Schizosaccharomyces pombe: one gene and its partner. The protein of the gene in region 2 interacts with the protein of the main gene of each other region in a pairwise test. Each region holds a gene or a part of one and is shown on either strand. Other genes may lie near its edges. The genes, in order: SPOM_SPAC26H5.09C and hem13.

The links.
Region 1: the proteins of hem13 (region 2) and SPOM_SPAC26H5.09C interact in a two-hybrid assay, tested with the Schizosaccharomyces pombe proteins (2 studies listed by BioGRID).

The regions. Positions count from the first base shown.
Region 1 is NC_003424.3:4,137,139-4,141,069, forward strand, and holds SPOM_SPAC26H5.09C (gfo/idh/mocA family oxidoreductase), read right to left. Parts: upstream 1,954-3,931; 5' UTR 1,842-1,953; exon of another isoform or gene 1,581-1,841; 5' UTR 1,545-1,580; coding exon 435-1,544; 3' UTR 128-434; downstream 1-127.
Region 2 is NC_003424.3:964,447-968,277, forward strand, and holds hem13 (coproporphyrinogen III oxidase), read left to right. Parts: upstream 1-1,689; 5' UTR 1,690-1,983; coding exon 1,984-2,922; 3' UTR 2,923-3,145; downstream 3,146-3,831. Other genes in the region: SPOM_SPAC222.17 (uncharacterized protein), read right to left, coding at 3,419-3,512, 3,584-3,759.

The DNA of each region.
Region 1 (3,931 bases), 3.2 Mb from region 2:
TATAGAAGTTGACTTTTTTTAGTATATGTATTTAATATGTTGTATCTTTCTTCCTTCTATTCCTACCTGCCTATACAAAATCCCTATTTATTATACGCGCATATATACATACCATCCCAAATCTGTTGCTGATGAAAACATAATATATATTTATATTTATAGGTATACTAAGATATAGATAGACGTATGTATATAGCTTGCATATTTACATGCGCAGATAGAAATTATATACTTACTTGTGTGGTTAATTACCAGTTCTATCTGTTTGCATCGGTTCGTCATCAGATATAGTATGTCGAAGGTTACAGTACCAAACATAAAACAACAAAAACAATGCTTACTGAAAAGTCATAGAAAACGTAAAAACATAAACTGTCTGGAAGGAAGAAAAAAAGAAGAATTTGGAAAGACGCGCAGGTTCAAAACCATGAGACCTACTCGGACAATGGGATGGAAGTAGAGGATTGGGAACTCTTGTAAGCAGCCTCAATGATCTTCTCTACCAACAAAACTTGATGAGGCTTCACCGAAGTTTCAAAGGTCTTCGTGACCAAGGCTTCATGCACCTCCAAATAGAATCGACGATAATCACCGGCAATGGTCATTAAAGTGCTCTTCGTAGGTTTTGGGGGGTGTCTGACATCGATGTCGGGAGGTAGGGTCCAAAGGGTTGCATAATGATGGGAGGAATCGACACCATAACCTGGATCCATGGGAGACATTCCTTCGTTCAATTGGGACTCTTGGGGATCAATGCCAAACTTCAAAAAGCTACCGCGCGTACCCTTGATAATATAACGCATGTCCAAACCACAAGAAATGCTGGAGGAGCACACAATAACGTCAAGAGGAAGTCTTCCTTCTTGGGGCAGATAGTGGAGAACGATGCGGAAGCAATCCTCCACCTCCAAAGGTGGGATCTGACGTTGTGATTCGAGCTTTGCCGTTACGGAATGGGGAGTGCCAAACAAGGTGATGGCCTGATCGATCAAATGAGAGCCCAAGTCATACACCAAACCACAGCCGGGATTAGGAACATCCTTCCAATTACCTTTACGGAAAAGGCGAAAGCGATCGATATGCGACTCGAATTGCACAACTTCGCCCAAACGACCATTTTCGATGCATTCCTTTGCCGTCAAGAAATCACCATCGAAACGACGATTTTGATACACGGTCAACATGAGGTTTTTGGACTTGGCGAGATCGAACAGCTCCTTGGCCTCGCCGTAGGTGGGAGTGAAAGGTTTTTCACACAACACATGCTTACCGGCATTGAGCGCTTGAGAAACGACCTCGTAGTGGACGTTGGGAGGGAGTGAAATGACGACTAATTCGATGTTGGAGTCAGCCAAGAGCTCGTCGAGTTTGGTGTACACCTTTACGTTTGGAAAGGCAGCGCGGGCTTTCGATTCGGTGCTGGTAGCACGGCGCTCCCAAGCAGCATAAACCTCGAAATGGTTGGGTAGCGCCTTTAAGAAGGGATAGTGGAAGATAAAGGCAGACATGCCAGTACCGAGAACGGCAGTTTTAATAGGCGCCATTGAGAGTAGTAGGGAGGGGAATCAAAAGTAATGTTTCTACAAGAGGAATGTTAGTAAAGATGCGACAAGACAGCCACAGGGAAGGGCAAGGGCAAGGGCAAGGTAGAAGAGGAACCAAAGGTGGATAGAAAGAGCGCGCGCACAATATTAAGGCATCACAAGCGCTCCATGCGATGTCAAGTAACGCATTGCAACTCAACTCAATCATGATGTGTATTTCCTGAACCATCTCTATTCCGCAATCGCAATCGCACCCGCGCTTGCACTTGCACTTGTACTCGCCAGCTTACTACATACCTTGCTTGAAAAATGAATAAAATATAATGTAAATACAGTCGGCCCGCTTGTTAAGCTTGTTTCCTATGGACCACAATGGATTCTAATGTCAACCTAGCTAGTTGGTTCTTTGCAAATTCGATGCGACCCGCGCCCGTTATCGATTAAATAGTCTACACCGCCATTCGCCCACGTAAGCAATCAACACACAACCTTTTTCCATCTCGTTGTTTCAACCTCGTACAACGTGTGTTAAAGCGGGGCCCATCGGGTACCACGAAGAAAGGTGCAACTTGAGCTAAGATGCAGCTATGTAATGAATGACGTTTATTAGTATAAGCAGGATGAGTTTACCATGCAGATAGGGGGAACGTTTCAGCACGTAAAAGGGAACTAAAGGACACTATGCTTTAGTATGTTGTGTTGTGCTATGTACTACTATGTGATATTAGGTTGTGTATGCTATACTGTGCTATGCTAGTAGCCGATGGAGAGAGAGAGAGAGTATGTGCTTGTATGTCAAGGGAAATTGTAAACAAATTTAACTTGCTGGGACTAAATGATAATATGAATGTTGATATTACTTGGAAATCCTTCTTCAATCTCATTACGCTTGGATAAATTTGTTGAACCACGTTTGGATGAATGTTTTAAATTAAAAAGTTTTCTAGCGTTTGAATCCATGCCATCTCTTTCCCTCATCTCTCTCCGGCTTGACTTTTGCTCGCTTTTGTCTGCTTCCCAATCACTTGTTTCTAGAACCGGCCACTTCCATTATGTGCCTGCCGTTCTTATTGCTTTTGCCTCTATAAGAAAATACTATGGGTTTGTTTGGTTTGGTCTGGCTTCCATTTCCGCGCGATCGCTGTCAGACTAGATGCACTAAAATCCCTTGCACATTAATTAAGAAGAACTTTGTGGGGATAGGGAGAAAGCGCATCGCTTTATTTTTATTTATTTTTATTATTTTTCTTTCTTCAAGCTTTTCTTTATTTTTATTTATAATCAATTCATTTTTTCATTTGATTTCCTACCTACTTAAGTTTTTTTTTTTTTTTTTAAATATTTTCCTCTCTTACTCTGCACACTCTTATTGTTTCTTTTTTTCCTCGCCTTTCCACCGCCATCCCAATTTTTTTTTTTTTTACCTTTTGATTACATTCTTTGTTCCCATTTCGGCCTAAGATATGTTGATAAGGTTATCTCGTATTTTTAGTATGGTTCCATGTCTCACACCGTCATTTCCATCGGTTTAGATTGGTAAGAAGGACTAGAGCTTGTCGCATTTTTTATTTATTTTATTTTGTCTTCTCTTTCAAATTTTTTAAGTAATGATCATTGTTATCAAGTTCTATTGCCTTTCATTATTGTTATTATTCTTATGATTATTATGATTCTTACACTTTTTTCGCACCATCTTCCTTCTTACGATCCATCCATGCAATCCATTATACTCTCCTGTTGACTTGACCTTTTTTATTCTACTTCTTCTCTCTTAGTGTTTCTAACGGATTCAATGTACGATCCCTTGCGTATTCCGGTATTTCTTTTATTAAGCACTGTTTTGAAAAATTGGTTATTGTAAGCTACGCAGTTTGGTATCTGATTTAAGGATACGTAGAACTGCGGTGAGTTTTCCTTGTGATCTATTATATTACAATACACAGGTTGTATAAGTAGCAACTGAGTATAGGTATTGTATTAACTGGGTTATAATGTTACCTATCACTAATATAGCTCATAACTGAACTGAGGAACGAGATTCAGTTGTAACGCTATTTATAATATTTCTAAATAGTTGTTATCAACGGGTATCTATGTATATAGACGGATAGTTACCCGTGATTATCAATAAACGGATCTTAGCTAGTATTCCAACATATGGCATATAGTGATACGCAGCGTAGTGTATCATAGCGTAGTGTAATATTGCTGACAGTTATTTCAATTTAATTCCCTACGTTGCAATGATTTTCCCCACCAAATTTGCTGTTTGTCCCACGCTCATTTACGTAAGCGAACCAAATAAGTTTATTGCGTACAACGCTATTTCCTTTTCCATGACGGAATAGACTTTCTTAAGAACATTACACACAATCTATACTTTTCTT
Region 2 (3,831 bases):
AACGTATACTAAAACGGCTTTGCTAAGAAAAGAAATTGGATGCAAAACGCATAGAATGATTACTAACCGTATTCACCCAAAACTGAAAACCCTAAATTTGATTTTCAAAGAAAAAGAAAGTGAGAGAGAAAAAGGATGGTCACTAATTTTGCAAAGAAGTAACCACTGTAAATATTTACGCTTTCAAACCCAGCTTCGAGAAGTAATAAGTTATGAACAGCAATTCAAAAGGACTTCAGGAATATGATTATGATGATGCTTTCAGAGATACAATGAAATTTTGTTTTGTATAGAAAGCAAAAAAAAGAATTTAACTTATTTCAATGACAAAATCAAGGAATCTGGGTTAGCGGTATATTGTTGAAAGAGACGGAGGTTGAGCTAGAGGTATAAGTGTAAACACCAACTTGATCAATTTACGTACTTTGGTTTCAGTACTTTACGAGAAATCAATTTTTAATAAGGTGAAAAATAAAGCATCTACTATTTGCTTGTGTAAACCTAAAAAAAAAATAGTTTTTTTTGGTATCTTTCAGTCATATTTATTTTTGCTAGATTAATCATAGTAAAATACTTAACCATATGTGATTGCCAAAATGCATAGCTGCACCTCACCTTAAAAAAATCTAGGTAATCTAATTAGCATGCAACTACGAGTTAATGTTTTTTAAAAAGTAGATAAATTACAACGAAGGTTAGTAGGTGAAGCAATAAATAGTATGTTTAATCGTCACTCGTATTAGCAAATTCATTCGTCTTAGAATTTTATTTTCCTCCACGAAAATATATATATTTTTCTTTGAACGTTTAAATTATTATAAACAATTGCTTTCTCTGAAATTTATGCCCATTTACAATTTAATTCTGTTTATGGAATCTACATATTCGTTCAAGTATATATGAAATACATTTTAAGGAATCTTTTTTTATTAGATTCTTCGTATAATTTCTAAAATACATACTATTTTCATATACGAGTTTAGATAAATTACAAAAAAAAAAAAAAAAAAAAACGATTAAACTATAGGTTAAAAAGTAAATCTATTAGTTTATAACAAAAGAAACGTCTTTGTTTTATTTTAGTTTATTTTTTTACATCTAAAAAGTTATTGAAATCAACAATGGTAAAGTTGAACAAATTAACTCTTCAATTCATAGGTATGAGAAACCGTTCTTCATTAGTAAATCCAAGTATGAAACATAATCATGTTTTTACCCCTATGCGATCGCGCTATTCATATTTTTCCTAAATTATTTTTAGCATCAATTCTGTCTATAGTTTCATATAATTTCAGTGATTTAATCATGTAATTATTCATGTAAAGTTCATAAAAAATATAGGTTGATGATCTTATTAATGTTTGTACTTAAGAAATGGTAAATCGAACAAGTTGAAAAAGTAAGCATGGCATCTGTCTTATACTCTTGTGCTTTTCTGTAAACCAAGCAGTTAAAAACATTATTGCTTGCTAGTAGCGAAGCAACTTACAAACATTTCTCATAGACGAGAAGTAACTCCATTTTTCAGATAGTCTAATAATAAGTCAAAGAAAAGGATGTTTAACATCATCCTAATCAAATTCATATAAAACTAATAATTGTTTTCCATCGAAGGAATCTATATATCGCACTACAAGGTGCAGTAACGAAACACTCAGATCGTGGAATCCGGATTGTGTTCTTAACCTTACGAGAAAAACGAGCCATTACGGTCGTGACTGTCCAGAAATCGTTCGATTTTTAAATATCTGAATTTAGTCTATTTTTTGATATAAATCCCCCTAATCCCATTCGCTGCTGGCACAGTGTTTTTGTGAAAACAAAACAACCAAGTTGTAAATTTAATTCGCAAGTTGAACAGTGTTTTGATTCTTCACTTGTGTTAATACCAATTCATCCAATCGGTTGTATCATATCTTAAATACCATTTTGGTTACTTTTTTTTTTGGACATTTTGAGCAAATCCGTAAAGTAAATAAAAAGATGTCTGACATTACCGTTGAGCCTATTGGCAAGCAGATGGAGAAGCTTATTCTCGATGTTCAGCAAGAAATTGTTGCTGGTCTCGAAGCTGTCGATGGACAAAAATTCTTCCAAGACAAGTGGACCAAGGGAGAAGGTGGTTATGGTATCAGTTGTGTTATTCAAGATGGCAACGTTTTTGAAAAGGGTGGTGTCAACACAAGTATTGTTCAAGGAAAATTGAATCAAGACGCTGTCCAAAGAATGCGTGCTAATCATGAAGGTATTGATCGTACTGCCAAAGAGCTTCCATTCTTTGCTGCTGGTATCAGTATGGTTATTCACCCTCGCAACCCCATGGCCCCTACTACTCACTTGAACTATCGTTACTTTGAACTTGTAAACAGTGATGGTAAGAAGATTTGGTGGTTTGGTGGTGGAGCCGATTTGACTCCTAGCATTCTCTTTGAAGAAGATGGCAAGCATTTCCACAAATTGCATAAAGAAGCTTGCGATCGCCATGACCCCACTTTCTATCCTCGCTTCAAGAAATGGGCTGATGAATACTTCCTCATCAAGCACAGAAAGGAGACTCGTGGCATTGGCGGTATTTTCTTTGATGATCTTTCTGAGAAAGATCCTCAAGAGTTATTTGCTTTCGTCAAGGATTGTGCCCATACCTTCCTTCCTGCCTATGTCCCTATTATGGAAAAGAGAAAGAACATGGAATTCACTGAAGATGATAAGGAATTCCAACTCATTCGTCGTGGATACTATGCCGAGTTTAACGTTATGTATGACAGAGGTACTTGGTTTGGTCTTCAAGCTCCTGAACCCCGTGTTGAATCTATTCTTATGACCCTTCCATTACATGCTTCCTGGCGTTACAAGTATGAGCCTAAACAAGAGCGTCACAAGGCTCTCCTTAAAGTAACGCATACCCCTATTGAATGGTGCTAGAAAGATTCACAAAAATGACTTTTACTTCAGCATTTAATGAACATCACAATTTTTGGTAATAGCTTTATTCTTTCGTTTGTTTTTAAACTATGCCATGTTACACTAACTCATGTTAAATTTTCTATCATGCCTTTTTTGCTCTTCATTATTTGGAATTCTTAACTGTTTGAATTTGCGATTTTGAATCCCTTTTCTAAGCTAATGAAACAATATTTTACCCTTTAAAAATCCGTATCTTTTATTGAGTAGTGTTTTATAAAGAGTTTTAAAGTAAAGTACAGTACCTATTTGGCTTGAGATCTAATTTCACAATATAAATTTCAACTGATCTGCACTTTCATTAACTTAATTTCAATGTATTTTTCTTTAAAATAATACGAATAAAAAAAAAGAAGATGAAGGTAAAATGTGTGTGTCTTGTCTTTATGATAAAACGACGTCGATCCCCAACGGATTGAGATAGACAAGTCATAAAACGTTAGCATCGGTACAAATTTTACAGTCGCTCTTTTCTTTCATTTGTATCTAATTCCCTTTTACACTCAAATACAGTGGGCCGATTGGGATCTGCTGATAAAGTGCAAATGAACCTGTTGGTTAATATCAAACTCACAGTAAGTGTATATAGGATAATAATCTAACAATCTCCCATCTTACGTACCCTAAAGATTGCATAGTAGCAAACAATTTTGTCTCCGCTGCAGCCAATTCAATGCAGGAGATATCCCCTGACTCCGTTTGTTGGCAAACTCGTTCAGTTTGATTGTTTAGACTTTCAAAGAAGACCTTCTGTTCTTTGGTTGAATCCTTCAAAAATTCTTGTACTTTTTCTTCCATTATGCTCTTTCAGAGGAAGATTCAGTCGTACTGCTATATCTAATAAGTTGAAGTCAGGCTAACGCTGTTTAA